Linked DNA regions of Drosophila melanogaster. The protein of the gene in region 3 interacts with the protein of the main gene of each other region in a pairwise test. Each region holds a gene or a part of one and is shown on either strand. Other genes may lie near its edges. The genes, in order: shtd, CG3368, CG5359 and Rich.

Evidence for each region.
Region 1: the proteins of CG5359 (region 3) and shtd interact in a two-hybrid assay, tested with the Drosophila melanogaster proteins (one large-scale study listed by BioGRID).
Region 2: the proteins of CG5359 (region 3) and CG3368 interact in a two-hybrid assay, tested with the Drosophila melanogaster proteins (one large-scale study listed by BioGRID).
Region 4: the proteins of CG5359 (region 3) and Rich interact in a two-hybrid assay, tested with the Drosophila melanogaster proteins (one large-scale study listed by BioGRID).

Annotation. Positions count from the first base shown.
Region 1 is NC_004354.4:15,456,436-15,464,004, forward strand, and holds the start of shtd (shattered), read right to left. Parts: upstream 6,007-7,569; 5' UTR 5,901-6,006; coding exon 4,853-5,900; intron 4,793-4,852; coding exon 4,669-4,792; intron 4,611-4,668; coding exon 4,449-4,610; intron 4,391-4,448; coding exon 3,172-4,390; intron 3,113-3,171; coding exon 1,068-3,112; intron 1,009-1,067; coding exon 574-1,008; intron 510-573; coding exon 1-509. Other genes in the region: CG6294 (uncharacterized protein), read left to right, coding at 6,393-7,569.
Region 2 is NT_033777.3:27,281,772-27,287,972, forward strand, and holds CG3368 (uncharacterized protein), read left to right. Parts: upstream 1-2,008; 5' UTR 2,009-2,070; coding exon 2,071-2,133; intron 2,134-2,186; coding exon 2,187-4,256; intron 4,257-4,314; coding exon 4,315-5,544; 3' UTR 5,545-5,677; downstream 5,678-6,201. Other genes in the region: bigmax, read right to left, coding at 5,727-5,948, 6,014-6,201.
Region 3 is NT_033777.3:9,999,238-10,003,160, reverse strand, and holds CG5359 (uncharacterized protein), read left to right. Parts: upstream 1-1,884; 5' UTR 1,885-1,959; coding exon 1,960-2,221; intron 2,222-2,279; coding exon 2,280-2,539; 3' UTR 2,540-2,588; exon of another isoform or gene 2,589-2,655; intron 2,656-2,792; 3' UTR 2,793-2,846; coding exon of another isoform or gene 2,847-2,983; 3' UTR 2,984-3,135; coding exon of another isoform or gene 3,136-3,263; 3' UTR 3,264-3,317; coding exon of another isoform or gene 3,318-3,325; 3' UTR 3,326-3,390; downstream 3,391-3,923. Other genes in the region: Mical (molecule interacting with CasL), read left to right, coding at 1-114, 174-251, 308-408, 467-663, 721-726; Spn85F (serpin 85F), read right to left, coding at 2,847-2,983, 3,136-3,263, 3,318-3,325, 3,400-3,923.
Region 4 is NT_037436.4:22,257,214-22,264,760, forward strand, and holds Rich (RIC1 homolog), read right to left. Parts: upstream 5,709-7,547; 5' UTR 5,541-5,708; intron 5,484-5,540; 5' UTR 5,466-5,483; coding exon 3,411-5,465; intron 3,161-3,410; coding exon 926-3,160; 3' UTR 536-925; downstream 1-535. Other genes in the region: Ddx1 (Dead-box-1), read left to right, coding at 6,270-6,285, 6,340-6,391, 6,445-7,547.

The DNA.
Region 1 (7,569 bases), on a different chromosome or scaffold from region 3:
CCTGGTGCCGCTTCATCAGCTCCGGGGGACTCAAATCCGTGCCTTTGGTGTCCAGGCAGCGACTGAGGAACTGCTTCACCATACGTTCGCTGGCAAACTGCTGCAGGTCGTTCATATCGATCTGCCAACAGATGCTCTGTTCCATCGTCAATGTTTGGGCCAGCATGCTCTTCAGCCTGTCCGGGTCCTCCAAGTGGGAAAGGCAGCCCGTTCGCTTCTTAATATCAATCGGTGCACTCATCTCCAGCGCCTTTTCCAGCTGATCCCAGTTGCGCGATCGCTCGAAGCACACTGGCCAATAGTTCTCGTCGTCCACCACCACCTGCTGCAGGGTGCTCAGCACTGGCAGGATGCAGGGAGCGATGGGCAGGCGGCGCAGCTCGGTGGCACCCACCTCCAACACGGATATGTTGGCCAGGCACAGCTTATTGGTGTCAATGTCCCGGGGAAGGAACAGGCGCGGTTCCACAGCCAGTACATAGAGATGTCTCAGCGCTTGCAGATGGTATCTTAAAATGTAAATCCATGCGGTGAAGTGTGCTAACACATTGCTGCAAATATATTAATCCTTACCGATTGTCGTTGCTGTGTATGGGAAACTTGGGGAAGAAGGCGCAGACCAGTGCAGCAATCGACTCCGGTGTCTGGGAAATGGTGAAGCGACCCGCGCCGAGGAATAGCAGGCCAAGCGACATGTGTATGGCCATGTGAGAGCCGTAGGTTATGTGCGGATATTGTGGTCCCACTCGCGACCTGAGAAACCGAATTATGCGAAGAATTTCGCAGTTGCCGGAGCCGGCGAACACCAACGAGATCGAGATGAGCAGCACCATCAGGCAGCTCTCCACAGTGGTGCGACCGGCACATTCGCCCATCGGCCTGCTGGGGAAGCGAAGGAAATCCTTTATCACCGACCGCAGCGTGGCAAAGGCCACCAGATTCTCAGTGCCGGCGTACTTGAGACCAATGCAGAAGGCAGCTCCAGCCATGATATTGCAATAGGCTTGCCTGGACAAGAGTATATAATTCGTATCTAATTACTTTGACATTCAACTTCAGTTACTCACGAGATGGCCTCGTAGTCCACGTCATAGTCCTCGGGTGCATACTCATTTTCGTAGAACGGGAGTTTTAGGTGAGCTCGGAGTGCTCGCGGAAACTGTGCCTGGAACCACGCGTTGTCCGGCCGGACATCCTGCCATAGGATGAGGCCCCGGGAAATTGTGCGCAGCAGAAGGAAGTCAGGCCGCACCATGTCCAGTAGATACCGCGAATCCGGCGGCTGCATCCATTCGGCAATAGCTGCGTTCCCCGAGTTGAAGAACATAAGTCCCAATGCGAGCGTTGCACCCGGAGCAGTGACATCTATGTTGACGGTATCGCCTTCACGAACTTGGAACGAGGCTAGTCGGTATTTCTCCTTCTGGGAACCGCCGATGGGTCTCTTCACTCCACCGACCATGTAGTAGTGCAGGGTATCCGGCAGTTGGAGGTCCCTTAGGCCCGCCGGCGATTCACCCTGACCGAGGGTAACCAATCCGAGGGATAGACCTGCTGTCATGGCATACGATTCGCGCTCAATGCTGTTCTCCATCTCAGGGCCTGGAGGACGGCCAATCTCCTGGAGCAGCACCTCGGCTATGTGGCGCTTAGCTGATCCTTGATAGAGCAAACCGACGCCCATTATAGCAGCCACCTGTGTGCTTTGCGGTATATCCAACTCCATGGCGGTGGCTGGCAGCAGTGCCTCCAAGTGAACGCTCAACAACTTTGTGGTTTTCGTATCCATGGTGCCGCGATGGGCAGCGGAAATGCCCAGCAGCAGACCAACGTTGGTCATCTCATCGCATTTAACCAAATACTTATAGACACTCATGAAGGACAGCGTCTTTAGGTGACCATTCAAGCCCAGGGCCATGAGGAAACCAGCGTGCTCCAGGGCATTATGCGAATGCGTTTTGGGCTTGTTGTAGACAATCCAATTGGAGTCTATGTCCTGAGCCTGGGGTGAGATCTTCAGGCCAGTGGCCACGCCATTGTGAAACGATGGCCACATTTGCATATTCGCTGGGAATTCGATCTGCTGCATTTCGATGGTGGTGCCCTTCAGCGGCTCCTTGCCCAACAGGCACAATTTGGGCATGGTCAAGCTTTCGCTGGGCCGCGGCAACATCGTTCTCAGGGTGAACATACCTCTGCCCACGGGCAGTGTCATTGTGCGCGAACATAGTGCAAACAGTTGCTTCTCCTGCTCCTCAATGAATTCGTGATCGCTGGTTCCCGGTGCCTGTTGCACTTCAATGACCACCGGTTCCGAGCTGTTAAGCAGACGGCGCACTTCATCCACCCGCATGTCATCGGGAAAACGCAGACGCAGTAGTTTTGTGTCCATGTTGTCCATGTCGTCGCGGCGCAATTGGGCCGGTGAATCAGTTTCTGATCCCCCGGTCGGCGGACACCTCGCTGACAGTGAATCTTCCTTGTAGACCCGGCCACAATGCGGTTGCCCAGTGCTCGTTTCGAGGAACGGCAGTTGAGCGTGGGCCGCCAATTCTGGACGCAGGATAAGTTCATAGGTGGCCATGCTGCAGCCCATGGGCGGCGAGAGGCGAGCCTCCTCCAGTGCCTCCGCTACAATCAGATGCACTGCCGCCGGGAATCTTTCAATGTCTCGCCGTGTCAAGCGCATGGCCAGAAGTAGCTGTAACATCTGATGGCTACGCGGAGCATCCGCCGTGATATTACGCTTAGAGCGCCGCGTAAAGTTGGCCTGAACGGCGCCGGGGATCTCAAGCAGCTGCCACCAGTAATTCAGACGCTCATGCCCATGAGTCACCAGCGATACGAGCTGCAGTAAAATGCGACTTCTCTCGTTAACGCACTCCAAGAAGGTGTAAGGCATCACCTCCTCCTCGCCGACAATAATGTGCTCGAGTTGGGCAAACACACTGGGTGCCGGAACCCTCAGAAGCTCCTGGTGCAGCATCATAGCTCCGTGCTCAGCTCCCAGCAACGAGAGCTTGCCCGTACGATTCGAGAGTTCCGGAAAGTCTAGTATGTAGTGCAGCACATAACTTTCCAGCTGCATATCGATGGCCAGCTGGTGTAGGAACTGGAACGAGGAGATGGTGTTAGAAAACCACTAATGGATCTATTAAATGATTCACCTACCGTTGCCAGATATGGAAGCGCTCCATAAAAGTCAGCGTCCAGTTTGAGATCCTCGTACAGTAAATGCAGGCTGAAGAAGATGGCGGGAATCATTCGGAAGAGCAGCGCACCGATGTTCACGCTGTAGCTGTGGCCATCGGCTCCGCAGGGAGCCAGTGTCGTCTGGAGCAGCAGGAACTCCCAGTCGTCGTCCGTGAAATCATCGCAATCATTGTATATTCGCCGTTTCTTCGGCTCATCCTGGCCACCCAGTGTAGAATTGGAACTGCAACTAGAACCGTCACTCGATTCCGTCGCAGTAGCGCCGCCTCCAAATTGAGTGTGCAGCGGTGGCGTGGCACATCTAGCGTAGTTCTCGCCCGCATCCACATCCGGTGCAGCAGTCAGACCCATTAGGGCGAGCAGTGTGGAGCGGAATAGCAGCCATTCCTGCTCTATGGAGTAATTCCTCGATCCCGGCGGATTCCTGTCGCTATACCAACGGATAACAAAGTCCAGGAACTGGGTCGGACTTAGAACCTGCCGTAGCGTAGCCACACATCTGGTGAGCAATCGTGTATCATTTAGAAATGGCAGCGCTATTCTGAGCATTCTGCCCGTGGCATAAACCAAAGTCAATCGATTTCCCGCCGGATCTCTCAGGGATTTGCAGACATTGTGCGCCTGCCGCTGTGTGTAGGACACCGGCTGCGGTTGGATGGGCGACAGCATGTGCAGCTCCTCTTCGAAGGCAGCCACATCCCCCGGCGCTTTTGTGGGCAGTAGGCTGCTCCTTCGCACCTCCACGAAAGAACTGCTGCCGGACGGAATGCCGCTTGCTGGTCCAGCAGCTGCCATTGGTGTTTTAACGTGAGACGGAGCGGGCGAAGCCGACGGAGATGGGGCAGCAGTCATGGGCGTTACCAGCGGTGTGGGAATGGAGGTAGGCGCCAAAAACGGCGTAATGTGCACCTTGGATATGAGCACGGTGCCTGTGTATAGAAGTAAGCTGCCACTCGGATCGAGAACGGCAATCATGTGCATTCTCTTCAGACCCACTGCATCTTTCGCGGCCAGCGTGGAGGCGTGCGTGGAGAGCTGCACCTCGCCCCTTCCATAGCCAGTGAGGCGGACCAACTGAAGGCGGCACGAGCGGGCCAGCAGGTAGCACAAAAAGGTCTGACCCACTAAATCCGTGTGGATAAATGCTCGGGTGGCCATCTCGCAGAACTCTCGTTGACTAAGGAAGACAGACAATTTTAGTACTGAAAGTGGCATCTTTGGTGGCATTTACTGACGTTCCGTAGATGTTCTCCGTCCAGATGTGCTCCATACACAATTCCGGCTCAATGGGTTTTGCCGGCTTCACGTGCGTTAACTTGCGCATATCCTTCACGGACATGGACTGCTGGCTAATACTGCTCTGCAGTTGGCTCAATGGAGTGCCTAGGGAGGCGCGACTAAACGGAAGAAGAGGCAATAATAAGTAAGTGATGGATGACAGCGACTTAAACGTACTTCGACTGTCCAAGAACTCCGCTGAACGACTGCGACTGGCTGAGTCCGAACTGGTTGCCCATGCCGGTGGTGGTGGTGTTGATATTCCTGGCCGCAAACGATAAGTTCGTTGCTTTTGGCGTGGCTAGCAATGGATAGACAGTGAATAAATCGTATGCCCTTGCTGGCATTGCTATCAACTCACCTCCAGTTTGCTTGGTGGAACTGAAACTATTGCCTGCCATCGACCTGGGTCCCATTAGCGTCTGTCCCAGCTCCATCTGCTGACTCACATAGTTGATCTCTTCGGGCGTTACCTTACGCAGGCGTGCAACGAAATGCTTAAAGAACTTGGCATCGTACAGCATCACCAAATCCGATTCCTCGGTGGTGAAGACCACAGTGTATTCCGGTTCGGTCATGTAGCCGGTGGAGCCGGTGGCCGTCTTCAGGACGACGGGACAGGCCTCGTGCAGCGGATGCGACATAGAGAAGAGACGCGGCATCGGAATGGACATGTGCGATATCAAGGCATTGCTGGAGTCCTTTTCCAGCAGCAGGCCATACTTGGTTTGCCACAGCTGTGACACGGGAAAGTCCAGATTGGCTAGAAAGTCCTCGCCGTTGCTGCAGTACACCCGCAGGGCGTCCTGATCCATCACACAGATGGCGGTCAAATGGTCGTCATCCGGGTGGACAGCCGCCTTCAGCTGCGCCAGTCGCCCGCGCACAAAACTGCGATTCAGGAAGCAGGCGAAGCGCACCGGCGTATCGGTGGTGAAACACATGCGCCGGTACACCCCATTGTCGGTATCGTCGTCATCGTTGACGCCTTGTGTCCACACCACCGTGTTCCGGTTCACATAGAGCTCCTCCTCGTTGTTAACCATATAGTCGCACATTGGCTCCACGCGCCGCACCAGCGGTGGATTGAGCAGTCTGTTCGGCAGCGAGGTGGCCTGGAGACCACATCGCTTTGTCCGCTCGGTCAACTTGCGTCGCAGGGCGGCGCGCTCCTCGGATGCCTCGTAGTCATCGTACAGCTCTCGGACTGTCCACGACTCCTGTCCGCCCGAAGGGCAGTCCTCACCGGCCGACGAGATGTTCACATTCTGGAGGCGCTGCAGCAGCAGATGCTCCGTGGTGGGCAGTTGGTGGCGCGCCATTGGCTGGTCATGTGGGCCCGGATGCTCCGCGGACGTCTGACGGCCGCGCGGCACAAACTCCAGCGGCGGTTCTGCGACGGCGATCATGTCCGCGTCGCCAGGTGCATCCAGAATTGCGATTGACAAGTTAATTGATTACAATTTATTATTAGCAAGGAATTTGCACAATTATTTAAAAACTGTCATCGAAATCGGGTGGCGATAAGTGCCTGATTCTATCGGGCCTGCAGTACTTCGATATGAGGAGAGCTATCAAAAGGCCGATAACGATAGGAAGACCAGAATCGCGACAAACAAAACAATTACCAGTATATGCCATAAAGTCATACCGAAAGAAATGCTAGAGAAATGGCTTTGCCTATTTTTAAAAATATAAAATATAACAGTTCGATTGCTTTTACTATCGATTACAATGCCGGTTGGTCACTTGTAGCAACCAGCTTTGGTCCGCTGGCGTACCGGTTATTTTCCCGGTCTGGCAGCACAGTGCGTTTGTTCGGCTTTTCCAATTGGATTTCGGAGTCTGGATTTTGATTTGAGCAGACAAACGGAACCGGAAATCCTGGCCAGAATTTGGCAATGAGCAGCGGCACCGCCGGCTGCAAGCGCGCGCACAGCATCGAGGTTGAGCAGCCGCTGACGTCGGAGCGCCTGGAGCACAGCCTGCTGTTGGTCAAGGGACGCCTGGTGCCCAAGTGTTCCACGGCGCGTCAACTGAAGGCGATCCTCGATCTGCCCGAGCACCTGTCCCAGGAGCAGCTCACCCAGCTGTCGGCCGGCGGCGAGTTTAAGCTCCTATTCGACTTGGAACAAGCGAATCGCGAGGAGGAGGAGGAGGAGAGCGCCTGCCTCCTGGAGTTGCGATCCTGCACGGCCACCCGAACGATTAGCTTCAGTTACCGGCCCCGCCGCAGCTCCTACCGGGTGCAGCCGCTCTACCTGCTCTGTCAGGACGAGGAGAAGACGCTGGCGCAGCAGCACGAGGTGCACTCCCTCATCGATCTTAATTTGCGGCTGGTGCAGTCCATCTACGCGCACAAACTGCACGCGGCGGGCTTTCCCAACCGCACCTTCACGCTCAACGGCAAGTGCTGCGCCTTCCGCAGCCAGTTGACCCGGAAACAGGCGCTGGCGAAGAGCGAGGACGAGCTGTGGCAGCATTTCGCCGGCGAGATTATCGCCTGTCCGCAGTGGGGCCACCAGTTGCTCCTCAAGTTCGTCGCCTTTGTGGGCTGCACGCGCTACGACGGCGACGCAGTGGTGGCCAGCGGTGACTCCTCGTACGCCAACATCCGGCGGCATCTCAAGGGACACGCAGCACTCGGTGGCGGCGGCTTGGCGCTCTTTGGTAGTGCCCACTTCTACGCGTGGCCCACGAGCTTCGCGGAGATCGGCGACTGTGTGCGCAGCGCCCAGCGGGTGGACATCGCCCGCCTGCCGGACGAGAGCAACTATCGGCGGACGTACGGCGGCGTCTATGCCAGCACCTTGGGCGCCGTGTGCCACGAACTGGGCCACTGCTTCGATCTGGGCCACACCAGCGAGGGTGTGATGGGCCAGGGCTTCGACTACTTGAATCGCGTGTTGACCGTGGACCAGCCCACGGAGCATTTGCCGCAGCGAATTGTGGACGCCCGCAGGGGCTCACTTGCCAATACTAATTCATCCGAGGGCGGATCATCCTCATCCAGCTCCACCTCCTCCTCCTCCTCGTCCGCCGGCAGTGGCGCCGCAACGGGCAACCGCGCCCGCCTCA
Region 2 (6,201 bases), about 17 Mb from region 3:
GAGTGGAAAATACGACCGTTTTCAAGCGTCAAAACTGAGGCAAACCGTCGCCGTTAACGACGATTTCAATACTAATTTTTAAAACTCGAAAAAGCGACGAACGGGCCTACAAAAACCCAACTATATAAACGGCCACCTGTGCTGGTGTGCGTGTGCGCTACGACGTTATATATTCGTGTTCGTACTTGTATTCGTATTCGTATTCGGAAGGTACAAATAATGGTTATGGTCGCTAGTTGTTTTTGAGATTGCGAGAGATTGCCGGAGAGACAGTTGCCTATTATTTTTTATTTCGCCTTTTCTTCTTTCGCTGCCATTTACGTTTTTATTCCGCTCTTTTTTTAAGAACGGGGTTATTTCGGGGAATATATAAATTTATGGGTTCGCGCGCGTACACACACACACACACACACACACAGCAAATAAAAACTGCAAAAAGCTACAGTTTTAATGTAGTATACACATGTTGAAATCGAGTATAATGATTTTTCAAGTTTTGTTTTCCGCTCGTCTGCCATTCTCCGTGAAGTGAAGAAGACTCTAACGGAAAGTTTCAGACTATCTATAATCTTTAAATTCAATATTGCAGATTAAGTTAAGAGTGTTAGCTCAAAGGTTTGAAACTTTGGAGATTTAAGCCCGTTGGATAACTGAGCTTAGAAACTGAGCAATAGTATTTAAAAATAAAGCGAAACTCACGGCTTAACGGATTTAACTATAGCATTTCAAAGTTCTTGTGGGAGATTACTTTTGGTGCGCACTGTAGTCAGAGCAAAGTGAACGCAGATAATCGCACTCGACTGTAATAACTTGCTTTTTGTGTAATAGCAAAGATATCGAATTACCTTAGGCCTTTGGGTATTCGATTTCAGGTTCTTGTCGACGGGAGACTACTGTAAATTGGATTCTCAGTAGGAAATCGAGCTTCTGCCAAGCTGTGTGGTAAACAAGGTTTTCGTGAATCCTCTTACAGGTGAGAAACTACCCCTTTGCGGCATAAGAACTCCATGTACACCGAGTACATAGGCGACCTGCTGAATACTGGTTCAAAAAATTCGCATTCAGCCGAGCTTCCTTGAAATTTTCGGGGTGGCAGATGCCGAGAATGCGAATAGGTTGTATCTCGTATCGCATCTGAAAGCCATGTGCTGAAGTCAGTCGAAACTAGATTTACAAGTATTGGGCGGACCGAAAAGATGGGTTGCGGGGAAGCTGGAGTTTTCGAACTGGGAGCGATGCCAGAACAGGAAACTTGAAATCGGCTGCAGCTATTCTCTGTGGATGAGCAGCACGACGCTGGGAAATGCGGAAAGCATTTGCATTAATTACGCATGGCACCAGTTCTAGGAAAATCCACACGTTTATCTGAATTTCATGTATGCAAATAAATAAACAAAACGCGAGGCAAACCTTGCAAGCATTGAATCCAAGAGCACAAACACATGCATTTTCTTATCATAACGAACTTTGTAGGGAGCACTCACTTGAAAAAACAAAGAGCCAATTTGGTCTTCGGTTTGTTATATCGATTGCATGAAATACCTTTAAAATATTATATTTTTCTCGTTTCCTGTACGCGCTGTGGTTGTCAAGAAAACTTTTGAACTTACGGATCTGCAATTTCTGCTATCGAATTAATTTTATCGGTTGTATCAAACAGCTGCTTTGTGAAAGCTTTATATTCAAAGATTGTTGTTAATAAAGTTTATTAAAAAAAAAAAAAATTTATCATCTTTTTAATATTTAAAAACGCTGTAAAAGAAAACAGAATACAGTACCCTGTACCTAGTTAACATTACCAGACAGCCATCCCTCACAAAATATAACGAAAATTTTAAACACTGAGTCTCTAAACGAAGTACTTGGTACCGCTATAAATGATAAATATAAAAATTATATGTCACATTAATTGGAAACATAATTTTTAATCAACAACGGTTGGGCGTTTCAAGTTTTTAGATAACGAAAAGCCATCGATTATCGATTACCGCGCAATTATCGTAGCGCAGTGGCCGGTTTTGTGGAGCCCTGGTTGTGGTAAGACGAAAGTTGTGAGAATTGAGATTGGGCATGTCGGAATCTCCGGGAAAACGGCCAAAAATCGGACCCAGCGATTGCCTCTGCTACCTGCAGGTGAATTGAGTACGGCACGGGGACTGAGGTGTAACATATTGTGTTCTTTCTAGGGCCTGGGAGATGTCCGCCCGGAGGATGCCGCACTGCAGCTGGCCCAACGAATACAGACGGAGGAGGATGAGGCGGCGCAGGCGGACACGTGCAGTGGTGCCAATCAAGCCGCCCTGAACATTAGCTTCCGTGTGTACTACCACATAGTGCACAAGTACGAACTACAAGACTCGCACTTCGCGGATCTTTTCCAGCGTTTGACCAGCGAGCAACCCACTGCCTTCCTGATGCTCCAATCCATTCTGCTCACCGACCATTGGAAGCGTCTCGATGCTGCGCTGCTGGAGGAAAAATGCACCACTGCCATAATTGAGGCTCTGCAGCGCAACAATCCCAGCCTGATGGCCGTGCTGAAGGCCACAAACTTGCTGGTAAAGAAGTTCCCCAAGCTGCAACTCCTTCCGCTGAAGTTGGAGCACTTCTATCACTGCCTGCAACGCCAGACGCAAACGGGATCCCGTGAGGAAACGCTCACGCTGTACAACCACTGCTGCAAACAGCCGGAAAGAGCATTCTCCTACTTTCGCTTGATTGTGGAGTTCTGGCCATGGACGAATCGCAACAAGTACTATCTGCTGAGCGGCGCTCTCAACTCTCATTCCCTGCCTGATCTCTTGGCGGCAACGAATCAAAGCGAAGAGGAGTTCTTCAATGGCCTAAGGCTCAGCCTGAGCTATAAGGGACTTCGGGCCGCCAGTCAATATCCCGTGAAAAGCTTGAGCAACCAGCGCTCTCCGGCACTACTTGCAGCCAGTGTGGAGCTGTTGCTTAACGGCAGTGTGGCCGAGATTCAGAACTTTCATTCGCAGTGGTTCCTGCGCATCCAACAGCGGGAAGAGTTGTTTGAGCTGCTGCAAGCAAATCCTCAGATTGTGGAGTTCCTGGCCACCGAGGAGGAAAGGTCGCCGAGCGATCAATTACGTCTGATTCTGATCTTCAGCATGTTCGCCAGGGAGATATATGCTACCTCCAAGCTGCACTTCTTTAAGATCAGCACCGAGCTGTTGACCAACTGCAGCCAGATGGAGACGGAGGCGCAGCTGTTGATCTTTCGCTTTCTGGTTGACAATCTGGGAAACTTTGCCGTCGAAGACTGTCTGGATTTCTTTCACAGCTTTGTAGAGCGACATCGCTGTCTGGAAAGCTCAGAGTTCCGGAACACGATGCTGGGCAAGATGCCAACGATTATCAATCACACGGCCAAGCACTTTCAAAAGGTTCTAAAGGCGGACATCGGAGTGGGTGGCCATGCATTGGCTCAGAATATCAAGCGATTCTTTTCACATCTTCAGCATCTGATTGAGCGGGACATCCACAGCGAGGTTTATCAACCCAAGATCTTTGCCCTGAAGTTGCTGGAAATCCTAAATAGGTCGCTATATGCAGAAGAAGTCGCAAAAAATGCAAAAATGTGCAGTCCTCAGCAGAATCAGCGCATGGGCATATTTCTCCTGGAGCACGGAGTCTTTCGTCCAAAGGAAATGGCGCAACAGCTCTTCGAAACCCTCAACAATCCACAAGGTTTCGATGATGCTTTGGACCTAACGGTCTCCCTGTTGATTCAGATGGGCCATGTGGACAGTGAAAAGTGCGTGGAGCGGTGCTTCGAACTGTGCCACACGTCTGATATGGACCAATGCTCCTTGGTTTCCCTCTACGCACAGTTGGCGGTTACAAAAGAGCAAGCTGGATCAAAGATATTTGATGAGTGCCTGAAAAGGCTTACCGGTAAATTAGATCCCTTCTTCGAAGATCCTTTGCAGACCGCCAAGAGCGGAGGACATCTCTTTGGCTATCTTTGCGCCTTGGACGAGGTGGTCAAGGCTGGCTTGGCAGTGGAGACGCCTCTGGAGGATTTGTTGCCATTGCTAGAGAGAATTCTCAGCGGCATTCTCAAGTTCCTCAATGTGGCCAACGCCCGGCGACAGGAAGAGGCAGCCACAGCAGCCAGTTTCCAGGACATGGACGAGAGTCTCCAGCTGCTGGTCAGCGAAAGCTCCTTCAAGTGTGATGGGGAGGAAGAGGCTTGTCGAAAGTACTTACTGATGAGCTTCTGGTTAACGTTGAAGGTGCGTAGATATATTTCTTAACTCTTGATAAACTTATCATTTGTTTATCCTTCTGCAGGGCTGTTGCGATCTGGCCACCAGCATTGGGTGTTACCAATTGCAAACGTCTGCCAAAACAGTTAACACCGAGACTCTGCGTCGTTGCCTCAATATTAATGTTTCCGTTTTGACGCTTTGCCGGCACAAAGGAGCCATAGAGGCGGCCGGCTTGAGCATTGGCAGACTTACCCGTGCCATCACCAGTAGCTTAGACAGCTGCGATTCGGGATTCCAAATGCTTCACGACTGCCTAGAGCGAGAGCTGCTGACTGAAAGCCGTCAAGTGAGCACCACACGACGTGGTGCCGGCTTCGCCATAATGTTCCTTCACGTGCTGAAGAACGATAATCCACGACAGCGGCTGCTGCTCCATCGCGCTGTGCAGCAGATTCTTAAGAGGCTAAATGAAAACCAAACCGCGGAGACTGTTTGTCTCGATAGCAATCACGATCGCTGGGAGGCATTGGTACTGCATTACCTTTGCGTTCTTGTGCGCGACACAGAACTGAGGCCAGCTATGAGCAAGTACTACAATGAGATTCTGCTGGTGGCCATGGAGCACATCACCAACCCCGAATGGACCATTTCGAATGCGGCACTTCAACTCTTTGGCGCCAATCTGGGCAAGCTGGTCGGCCAGCGCCAAGCTACAGAGTTTGACACACGACCCGCCTGGGAACCCAGTGAGCTGGACTACGACGAATTGGGCTGCTTGCTGCCCAAGGCTTGCGAGCACATGCTGAGGTGCTGTGATCGCCAGGAGGTCACGTCATCCATCATACTCTTTCTGGCCTTCTTGTCCAAGGTCGAGCACTTGCGTACGTCGGGCGGGAAAGAGCCAAATCCCCTGCTCATTCGCTTCCGCCGACTCAGTTGGCATTTGTTGCGGCACAAATGTGATCAGGTCCGCCAACTGGCGGCCACCTGCTTTGTGCGGTCGCACGAATTCCGCTGCGATCTGCCGGCGGCGCTGCTGGCCAGCGCCAAGTTGGCCGCGAATCTGGAGGAGGAGAACTTCTACGAGGGACTGATTTACACGCTGACATCGGGCGTGCTGAAACTAAAGCACGAAGCACGTCATGTGTGGAGCGCGGGACGTCTGGAGGGATTCCTTGAAGCGCTGCTCACCGCGCTGGATGTCACTGAGCGAGTTCGTCGCTTCAAGCCGTACACACGGAATGTGCTGCTGGAACTGCTAGGCCAGCTGGGTAGTGCGGATAAAGCGGCTCTCGTCGAGTCTCTCGGCTAGCATTAGCAAATCTAGTTTTATCTAATCTTTAATCATTAAGCCAAAAAGTTATCTTTCCTTGTCAACGCTTTTACAACTATTCAAATGACGCATTTAATGTTTGTACGCAGTAAACGTAACGAAAGTATCTACCAAACAGGGATTTCTAAAATAACCAATGAGAATATGAACTAACCGCGCGATCAGCTGAAACCCTCGCTCGACTCCTGCTCCATGGCCTGAAGTTCCTGTTTTTCCATAGCCTCCTGCGCCATTTGCTGCAAGGTACGACTGAGTATGTTGCGCAGGATGTGCGGCTTGCAGTGCTCCTCCAGCCAGGGGATAATGCCGGTGGTCAGCTGCTTAAAGTTCTCCATGGGTATGTGTTGAAATGTCTCGAACATTTCCTCCATAATGGCCTGGAACTACGGAGGAGGGTGGTGGGTGGCGATTCTAGAGGTTATAATAGAGGTAAGCGCTCCATACTTACCACTTGAAACTTGGCCTCATCGGTGAGTCGTGCCTCCTCCGGCCCTGGATTCGCCTGCTGATGCTGTAGCATGTTCTCATAGCCGTTCTTAATGATCCGTAACGCTGTTACCTCCTTTTGTAGCGCCGATCCCTCGTCCTCCTGCTTGAGTTTCTGCTGGTTAAGGTAGCCAATGTATTCGATGGACT
Region 3 (3,923 bases):
CGCTCAAGAGATTCAGCGGGAACAGGAGGAGATCGAGGTGCAACTGAAGGATCTGGAGGCACGCGGCGTGCTTATTGAGAAGGCCTTGCGAGGCGAGGCGCAGAATATTGAAAAGTGAGTGCTAGGATCTGGCTATATCCTTGAATACCCATTAAATGAAATCTCTTCTACAGCCTGGATGCGACAAAGGACAACGACGAGAAGCTACTTAAGGAACTTTTGGAGATTTGGCGCAACATCACAGCACTCAAGTATGCTAATCAATGAAGCTCTATAATAAACAAATCTAATGTAATTTTGTTTTTAGGAAACGCGATGAGGAACTGACTATAAGGCAACAGGAACTGCAACTGGAGTATCGGCATGCCCAGCTGAAGGAAGAGCTCAATCTGCGCTTGTCCTGCAACAGTGAGTGTTATAGTTTCCTCTCAAAACTTTGATATAATATTTAATTCCATCATTGCAGAACTGGACAAAAGCTCTGCCGATGTGGCCGCCGAGGGAGCAATTCTCAACGAGATGCTGGAAATTGTCGCCAAGCGAGCCGCCCTACGACCCACAGCCTCCCAGCTCGACCTCACGGCAGCGGGATCAGCATCCACGTCCGCCGAGGCAACGGGCATTAAGCTGACGGGACAACCGCATGACCACGAAGAATCGATCGTGAGTAAATAGGACCTATATGTTTAAATTTGAAATTGACAACACCACTTGTTTCAGATTTGAATAGCCAACTTTCCCTGGAGATTGCTGGTCTGCGAAGTGGTGCATGGACTGTTGAGCCTAAATACTTAAGATGAAACAAGGGAACAGGGGAGAGCGTACCAAAAAGGCAGCTGAATATACAGAATTAACAATACTAAAACCCGTGAGCTGTAACCGAAACGAGCAACTAACTATTCAAAGTGGATAAGCTGGCTAAGAACAATTTCAATATTTATATAAGTAGAGAGCCTAACTAATATGGGAGAAGCGCGCAAGGTTAATGTAAAAACAGGCAGAGATGAAATCAAAACCAAAAAACTAATTTCGCAATTTAAAAGTAGGGATTACGAATGTTTTTGCGAATACCTTTAGTTTCGTATTCGACCTAATTGTACGTTTTGTTAGTCGTTGCCACTGAAATCTGTCTGATTTTTGTATGTCCTATGCAATATGTTGTGTTTTTATTTAATGTAATGTAGTGAGCGTGTGCAAAGGGTATGTGATTTTGAGCAAATGTAAATGGTGTATTTGAGTTTTCTTAGGTTATTTTCACTTAGCGATTGTTTGTCGATTTCTATGTAAACCGTTTGAGTGTATTATTATTTATTTGACAAAGCACCTTCCGCACATCCTCCCGATCAGCACACCCATGTATGTATTATGTCATTTGCCCCCAATCGAAATCAAAGTGAACACAAAGAGATGCACACAAATATTTTCTAAATGCGAGAGCCTACACATAGCGATGTAAGCGAGAAAGCAACCATTAACTGTATACTAACGAAATCATTTAAATTATTGCGTAACTTTATTTATAACCTGCATATATAAAAACATATTTATCGAATTTATTATGTAACTTTTCGATTTATTTTGAATTGAATAAAGATTTTATGAAACCTAAGGACGATTTTATAGTTCTACTTTATCGTGAAGTTTTCCTTAAATGTCCTTAAAGAAATGTTCTTTAATGGGGAAATTCCGCCATCGACGCTAACTTGACGCACATAAAATATTGGCGCGTATTATAAATTTAAATTATCCAGAAAATGAAAGAGGTGCCACACTTCGTTGTTATAAAGTGGCCACACCAAATAAGTTCGGTTATTCGTGGTGACTGACAATTAGGGATTGGCGGGAAAGCCATTTTACCATCTGGTAACACTAGCAATAAGTAAACAAACATAGCAACCAAGATTTTCTTGGTGCTTTCTTAAACACTTTGAAAGGGAATTACGCTGAATTTGACAAAAGATGGCTGACAAACAGTCCACTGAGGAAACAACCAAATCCGTCCAGACTTTAACAGTGCCCAACCCAGCGGATAGGAAGTCGGAAAAGTCGGCGTCAGGAAGTCTGCACTCCGGCTCAGCCGATGGTTTGGAAAATCAAGAAAAGTCGGAAAAGCCCGGCGACCAGCCCACCGCCTATAGCATGCGACCGGCCTTTGGGGAGATGTTTCCCCTGCCCACCATCAAGAGCATAATGAACAACGTTATGGCCGAGAAACTCAAAGGTTAGTGTGAAAATCCATAAATATACTGCGCGTTGCCTAGCAACTTCACTATTTGAAGACAAAACCTATGACAAGGACGTCGCCAAGAAGTGGACCAGTGAGATCGCCGACGAGGTGAACCAGCAGATAGCCAGCAGCTCCCTGGTGAAGCGGTACAAGCACGTGGTCCAGGTGATGCTAGGCCAGGAGCTGGGTGCGGGGGCCACTTACAACTCGCGCTGCTGCTGGGATTGCGACTGCGACACTTCCGTCTCCGAGGTCTTCAGCAACACCAGTCTCTTTTGCGTCTGTACAGTGTTTGGAACGTATCAGTACTAAAACCGATTTCCCACAGAACTAGTTAGACTAAGGATTATACTTTAATGGGGTGAGCTTACATTAAATGGGTTGTCACGAGATGTGTTTTCTAAAAATATTATATAGATAAAATATTCAACAAATGTTGTTTAATTTAATGATAATTTTAAGTATGAAGTTTCTTTACTTCCATTCAAATTTCATCTGCCCAGAGTCTCGTGACACCCCCGTATATTTACATTTTAATCTAAGCAATGCTAACATCTCGTATTAGTAGGCACCGGGAACAAAGGGTTCATCACTTTCGATAGTCGACCTTCGTCGTGCTTCATTGGATGCGTACGTTCAGCGGATTCAGTATGCGGCCCGACATCACAGCCACGTCCAAGTCGCGATCGACGATGAAAAACAGAAACGGATGATTCACAGAGATCTGAATGGGCTTCGATTGGGCGCCGTAGTTGCCTAGAGAGTAAAAGGAAGTGTTTATTGCACTTTGTCTCGTGTTGCAGAGGCTGCAACTGTTGCAACACCATTAGGTTGGGCATTCGCAATGCGTTGCGGCTCAATGCCTCCACTCCATTCCATTCAGGTGTGCTGCAATGCGAGACACTTACGCTTCAGCTGATTGATGGGATGCGTACGGATGGTGACGTCTATGGATTGCTCAATGTGTCGCACGTAGACGCCCTTCTCCTCAGTCATGGGCCTGAAATCGGCGCGATTTGGTTCGAATACGTCGCAGCTGCAACGAAAGTAAAATGAAGCCAGGAACTGGAGCTATTACACCCATGCTTACATTCCCATCTGCAACAGAGAGCACAAAAACCAAAGACACCTCAATAAAAACACAAAAATGCACTCTACAAATGAATACATACATTCTGCAAGTCGTTTGTCAAAAACATGGTGCCGTGCAGCTTGAAATCTGGAATGATGGCTTGCACCCAGCGTGGCTTCAACTGCTTCCGCATCAGTCGAAGGGTTGGTCCCAGTTTCAAGGAGGCGGCGGCTGCAACAATATCCGTGTGGTAGTCGGGCAACAGGATCATTAGGTTGTACTCCGGTGTGTCCAATTCCAACTCCAGCACGCTCATCTTCAGGTGCTCAAAGTACTTGTAGTACAGCACTGCGTTATATACCTTGAAGGTGGTGTGCACCACCTGTTGATTGCCCAAGTAGAATACGTGGCTGATCACATCCGTGTTATAGTTGGACTTTCCCTCGGCCGCCTCTCCGATATAGTGTGGCTCAAAATCATTCGTGATGGGTGCAAAGGCAGCGGGCACTGGCGGCGGAAAGTGCAGCGGGTGGTGCGGGACATGCGTGTGCGGATTGAAGAGGGTCAGAAAGAGATTTGCATCCAGATCCTTGTATGCTGGTATCGCATGACGCTTGTATCGTG
Region 4 (7,547 bases), on a different chromosome or scaffold from region 3:
CGGTAACTTGGAGGAAAACTTCAAAAGCGCAGCACAACACGGACACAAACTCGACTGGGAGGGACAGCACTTCGGCGTTGGCACCATCCTAACTACCACCTGCATTACCAAATCAAGCAGGGCACGTAATGAATCAGTCACAGCGATTAACTTTTACAGCAGCAGCGGGCGAACAAATTACAACCGACGTTGTCGCAGAGTCAACCTGCCGCCAGGTCACAATAGTCGCAGAGGGTGAATGGCATGGCCTTTGATCCCTAGAAAATCAAGGAAACTTGAAAATACGAACTATTTCCGGTTTCCTGCACCAGCTGACAGATGCCAATGTAGATATTGAATGAATTAATGTTGGCCTATCACAAAGCCGTACGAAAGAATTTGGCAATTGATTTTCACTTCTTGTTCTCTTTCGAATAAAAACAATTTCCTTCTATTTTTTATTTTATTCGTAGTGGTTTTCAGGTTCATCGCAGTAAAATTAATCAGTTCGAATTGACACCTGAACGAGCTGCTTAAGAATACAAGGGTGGTAATTGTTAAATGGTTTCATTTATTAGTAAAAATATAATTGTATTTGATTTGTATATTTAAGTATATTGTTTGTATAATTTTAATTAACAAATATTGCAGCAAATTTCATCTACTAAATTATGGATTACGTTGCGTATGCTTCATACGGTTTTACGGTTTGTTTTGTTTAGCCGGCGACGCTTCGTTGTCTGCGTGTGAGTTTCCATCCGGTTGTTTCTCTAACCCTGTGTGAGTGTGTACGCCGGCTTACAATTAACAAAAAATTTTAACAACGAGCTACAGCAACAAAACGCTTCACCCCACGGACCTACAAAAAAAGTACGTATCTGCGTCTTTGCGCTGAGTATGTGGAGTACGGATTACGCCTCTCGCATTACGGATTACGGCTAACGGCTTACATGAGGCGACAGCCCTCCCGCTCGCGGCTGTTCTGCCGTGACAGTTGGCGCTGGGTGGGCGTTGAATGGGCAGAGGAACCGCTGGCCACCACTGCGTTCCCGTTAGACTCTAGACTGGCGTGCCGCGTGAGCCGCTGGTGATTCGGGTTAAGGTCCGCCACAGTCCATTGGTTTCCGTTAGCCTGCTGGGAATTTGGAACAAATTCGCCCACTTCGTTCTGCAGTCCCTGGAGTCCCGTGCTGACGTCCACGCCCTGCTCGGTACCCGGGCCGGCATCTTGGAGCTGCGAACAGGGAGCATCCCCCAGAGACTGTATGTACTGTTCTAGCAGGTAAACATGCGGTTGCAAGGTGAGGACGAACCCCCGGTACAAAGATCCGCTGTGTTCAAAGGTGCTCTGACTTAACTGTTTGAGTGCAGATTCCGTACGTCGACAGGTGTGAACCGATTCGCTTCGGATTATTCCGTTTACAATCCGCGAGATGGAAGCCGCGTCCTGGAGCAAAATGGAAAGAACCAGCGCGTAGTCCGTGCAGTTCGCCTCGATAAACAGCTGTAACAAGTAACGCAGCTTAATGGACAGCTTCTGAGGCAGAATATCCACGGCTAGGTCGTCCTCTGATGTCGGTAGCGAGTACAGCCGGCGGTAGCGAAAGTTATCGAACGACAGTTGCGATCCAGACCGCGTCTTAAGTATTGGTAGGGAGCTAGGCTGCTGCAGTTCTTCCTCCTCTTCCCTAATGCTTGGCTGCAGCTGTGGCGACTGTGTTGCGGCTCCATTGGGCGTGGCCAAGCTAAAATAGCCAGACTCTGACGTTTGCGAAGATCCACCGCCTCCTGTCTGTCGAAGACTGCCGCGTATCTGAGCAAAGTCGTCCTTTGCCGCAGTCGGAAATGGAATGGGGAGATCTAGTTCTTCGTGTAGCGCCTGCAGAGCGCCGGCGAAATCATCCAACTTGGCTGCCCGCTCTGATTCCTGCGAAAGCCAGCTGACAAGGTGAAAGTCCAGATAAGCACACATGTAGCCTAAATCCATTAGTTTGTGGTTCTGAAGTAGTTGTCGAGCATGGCGCTGCAGTATCAGATCGATGCAGAACGTCTCTCGCTGCTTAGTCGACCGCCGGCGCACCACCGAGGGTGCTCCTGCACTGCTGCTTTCGGTCACAGGTGCAACCCCAGGAGTCCCAGATGCCTGCTTATCTTTGGGCAGATTGCTAGTCACCGTGGTGGAGAAGCTTCTCTCTCTGGCAATGGGACCCAGAACCATGTTAAAGGCATCCGCATTCTGGTTCACTTGCTGCTGTGTATTCACCTGGGGAGGAGGAGCAATTTTCACATTCACCACCATCGACGACCGCGGTGAGTCGATCTCATTTGGATCTATAGCCTTTAAAAACCGGATCAAGTCCTTAGCCAGCTCCCACTTTCGCTGCTGTAGAGCAATGTCCAGCAGCATGGTGGCATATTGCTTGCTAACAACAGAGGGTTCTAGATTCTGCAGGATTATCAAGTAGCTCGCAGCCGTGTCCAGCTGCTCCGACTGCAGACACATCTGGAATAAATCCTTCGGTTTACCAGCCATCGAAAATAGGTACGGCCACAGGGCGATCTCTGTTTTGCGGGCACATTGAACAATTGTTTCCAAGTAGACGGGAAACTCTCTTATAAAGTCCAGAATACTGGGCAGCTGTGCATCCGGGATGGGCTGTTTGCTAGTAGCCTCTTCCTCGAGAACCTCGTGTAGAAGCAGTTCCAGAGCGTGCGGAAAATATGGTAGCGAGCAACACGACTGTGCCATTTCCCAGGCAGAGTAGCCCAAATTCCGCTTGATCAGTTGGCGAAGTACCTTGTGCAGATAGATCTGCGACTTGCGTTCCATAACGGCGAACGGCAGAGAGAAGTGGGAGACCTGCTCATTGGCGTAAAGCGTGCTTTCGTTCTCCACCCCCAGAACGATCACATTGTCAAAGAGCACGACGAGCGGATAAAGTTTCAGCGGAAAGCTCAGCATGATTCGCTTTGACATAAAACTGTGCAGACGTTGGGCGCCGCCCTGCTCGCCTTCGCGACGCTCCCTTCCCGGCGGCAGTATTGGAAGCCATACGCGCATTCCGTGGGCACCGGAGTAAAGCCAAAGGCAGTCACGCATCGCACAGCGTTCCAGGGAGTGTGACAGCCAGAAGACCTCAACGCAGCTAGCCAGGCAGGTGGCCAGCAAGGTGTTTGGGACCTATTTGGTAAACATAGATTTTGACTTTAGTTGCTATATGATATATCGTAATAATTGTCCGCGAAGTTGAAAAGATGCATACTCAAATTCCTTGTTATGGTTGGCTCGATAACCAAAGACATTTCCAAATAGAAGACATGCTGACGTTCGCTTTACTTTGAGATAACGGTAAATTCACATATGAAATGTATAAATGATTTGCATCTCTCCAACTTTAAGCATTTCGACAATTAATATTTTTCAAACATACCTGTTCGCCGGCATCGCGCTGTATCATCAATATGCGGCCGCATACATTCACGATGATAGTCTCTGCCTGATCTCCACCCAGCTGTCCCTGGGGCTTTAGCTCATTCTTGAGGTTAGTCACAGTCAGACTAACAATGCAGGCAGGATGGATGCAAATGCTCTTCACGTCCAATTCATAGGCGCATTCAATATCCAGGGCGTACGCTGAGTTTTTCGACATATTGAACAGGCTCACTATTCCATCGGCAGTGAGTACAATCAACTGGTGTCGGAATGAGTTCAGGCTAATAACTGGTGCTCGGACCTGCAGCTTGTGCCCGTATTGGTTGTCGAGTTTGCAATCTGCCGGATAGCAACGCAACTCATCCGTGCGGTCTAGAAGCGAATAGCAGCCCATGACTACAAAGCCATGCCACCACAGTAGGCCGCCAGAGACAACGAAGTCCTTCTCCTGCGACTCATTGCCAAAAAGCTTCCAGCGCCGGGTCACTAGGGAGTAGTGCGCCAGTCCAGTGCGACCAGCCACCGCCAAGTGGAGTCCATCGGGATCGATAGCAGCATATCGGATTGGCCAGTTTGTGGCCGCGTAGTTGAGCGGCAGCTGCAACACTGTCCAATACTTACTCTCCGTAAGAATGCTGCCTGTGTGCGGGCTTTGTTTTAACTCCAGACAGTCGCCATCACCGGAAATGTCTTCGTCAGAGCCCAGGCCGCTTGATGGAAACGTTCCATGGCTTCCGGCATACGTTAGCTCCAGATTATTGCCCTGGTTAAGGTACAGGCAGTCGTCACCCTGCAGCAGGATGTGCGGACTAGTCGTCATGCAGGGATTCATACTCAGAGCGCTCTTCACAAACTGCAGCTGAAGCACATTACTTTTGTCTTTTTCCGGATGCAGTTTTAGCATAAAAAGCTGATAACCCTCGGTTGACCATTCGAGCCGACGGATCTTGAGTGGATTTTGACAAACCAAATCTACGTTAAGGCCGAAATCCCAGCTCAGAGTAGACATTAACAATGCTCCGAATGTGCTCCATAGGGACAAGCCTCCATTTGTCCAACTCACAGCAAGGACGCAGCCGTCAGGGCTCCACTTTAGCTCGTTTACTGAACCCAGGCTGTCTGGGAGTATGTTTTCCGTGAGGATAAGTCGATGAGAAAACTCTAGTCCCCCGGTGGCATCATCAATTGCGTACACCTTCACCGCCGAGCTCTCTTGACCATATGCCAACAGTCGAAATTTGTGATTGACACTGCAGACACTCGCATCCTCAACATCCGGCACCCAGAAGCCGTGCATGTGATCGGTCTCAAATCTTAGATGGTTGGCAATCAGGAAGGCGGCTCGTCGGTCACTGAAGACGGCTGCACAGCCACCGATGAACGGCGAGTATTCCAGAGAAGCTACGTACGAGTCCCTGTTCAAGGGCGGCACATTGCGCGCGGACTGCTGAGGCTGCTGCTGGACGTAGAAGGGAATGTCGCGCAGCTTAATTGAAGATAGGGCTGGCAACTCTAGGTCGTTCTCTGCGTGCTCCAGTTCGGTCCACTGCAGACGCAGCAGTTCGCAGGACTGGGTGGCCAAGAGTAATTCGCTGAGGCTAATGCAGCACACAGTGGTGATGACGGAGCCCAAGGTGACGCTACACAGTTCGCGAAGGCTCAGCCGGGGTATGTTTTCCTTGATAAACAGCTCGGCGGAGTCGCGTTTGAGGCTCGCGGCGGGCGGATCTATCTGCTGCAGGATTCCCATGCCGTTGGCTTCGAAGTCCAGTTGGTACAACAACAGGGAGCCGGACGCGGTAAGCAGGGCAAGCTGCCGAGAGTCCGGCTTCCACACGATCAGCTGGTTGGCCCCGTACTGGCGAAGGGAGTCCTCCGTCCGCCGGAAATAAGCAATGGGAATGAGTGGATTCGCGTACCAGATGCCCAGAAAGTCGTCGCCCACGGCGGCCACAAGTATTTTCACCGCGTCGCAGCAGATGTGCCGGATGCTGGCGCTCTCGCCGGGCAGCGCCAGGCCCACCCGCTTGGGCCAGCCCACTGGATAGTACATCCTCCGTGTGAAAAGTTACTGCGCAAACGGAAAAGTTCATTAGCAAGAGCGGGAGTGCGGAAAAACGAATTCAACCTGCGGTCTGGTGCGGGTGCATTTAGCTTATGTGGGTTACGCCCAGTTTTACATGATCTGCCCCGATCAATTAGCACTTTTAGACAACATTCCACAGCACAACAAAAAATCTGAGCGATTTTACGCGTATACAAATATGAGTGTTGGCCAGCGTTCCAAAATCACAGCTGTTTGCCAATCGCCGTTTCGCACCACTGATTTTAAGAAGGCAACAGTGATGTCAGGCTAGCTTTTCTGCACCCATCAGCTGTTTCTTAAAAAATCGACAAGTGAATGCATTTTGGGTTACTTCTATTTTCGGCTATACGAGCCTTCTTATCGTTTTAAATTCATCTTTTAAACAATAATTAAATAAATACATTATGATTAGATCACGAACTAAATGTTCTACCCTTCATAGTTTTATCTCATAAAGTCAAGTAACATTGGCATTTATCCTATTCCAGTATAGTCAAGTAAAGTTACCAACAACTAATGAGTGTTGTTAAAAAGGAATTCCCGAAGATATTTTTTATGTTCAAACCCTTCATTCAAAATAAAGTTATTAAATACTTCAATTCATTGACCTGCGCAAGCTTACAACACTAAAAAGTTCCCGAATTTCGAGTCCGCGATCTAGTTCACCAACAACCACTGTCAATTCGAACTAATTCAACGCATCTCGAACTAAATAAATCAACCGGCTTTCGAGAGGCAGAACAAAAAGGAGATTTGTGAAGTATTCTCAAAATGACTGCATTCGAAGGTAAGTGAAAATTAATATTTAAGGTGTGCATTGCTTATTTGACTTGCCTCGCAGAGTTTGGCGTGCTTCCGGAGCTGGGAATGGCCACAGACGAATTGGACTGGACGTAAGAAAAAACAGTTCTGTCTGCCTATTGCCTTCACATTTATGAATTTTCAGCCTGCCCACCGATGTCCAGGCTGAGGCCATTCCTCTGATCCTGGGTGGCGGCGATGTACTGATGGCCGCCGAAACTGGTTCCGGAAAAACGGGTGCCTTCTGCCTCCCCATTCTGCAAATCGTGTGGGAGACCTTGCGTGATCTGGAGGAGGGGAAGGCTGGCAAGGGCGGTGCAATTGGAGGAGCTGTGACTCCGTGGACCATGTCCTTCTTCGACCGAGGAAACGCGCTTGCCGTCACTCCTGATGGTCTGCGTTGCCAGTCGCGGGAGTTCAAGGAGTGGCACGGGTGTCGGGCCACCACTGGCGTTCGCGGAAAGGGCAAGTTCTACTTTGAGGCCACGGTAACGGACGAGGGACTGTGTCGTGTGGGCTGGTCTACACAGCAGGCAAACCTCGATTTGGGCACCTGTCGCATGGGCTTTGGATTCGGCGGCACCGGCAAGAAGTCCAACAACCGCCAGTTTGATGACTACGGTGAGGCATTCGGCAAGGCAGATGTCATCGGCTGCCTGCTCGATTTGAAAAACCAGGAAGTGAGCTTCACCAAGAATGGCCAGAACCTGGGCGTAGCCTTCCGCCTGCCGGACAACCTTGCCAAGGAGACCTTTTACCCGGCGGTGGTGCTGAAGAACGCCGAAATGCAGTTTAACTTTGGAAAGACTGACTTCAAGTATGCCCCGGGTAACGGGTTCGTTGGCGCTTGCCAGGCTGGACCCGAGCATAGCAAGGCCAATCCGATAACCGGTCCCGCAGCTGGAGCACCGTCCGCCAAACCGGCGCCTAACGCCCCTCAGGCCATTATCATGGAGCCCAGCAGAGAATTGGCCGAGCAAACCTACAACCAGATCGAGAAGTTTAAATACCACCTGAGCAACCCAGAGGTTCGCTCCCTGCTGCTTATCGGTGGAGTGAGGTTGGAAGAGCAAAAGGCGCAGCTGATGCAGGGCACTCACATAGTGGTGGGCACGCCCGGGCGGCTGGAGGAGATGATCAACAGTGGACTGGTCCTGCTCACCCATTGCCGCTTTTTTGTTCTGGATGAGGCTGACGCACTTCTGAAGCAGGGTTACACCGAGCTGATTGACCGTCTACACAAACAAA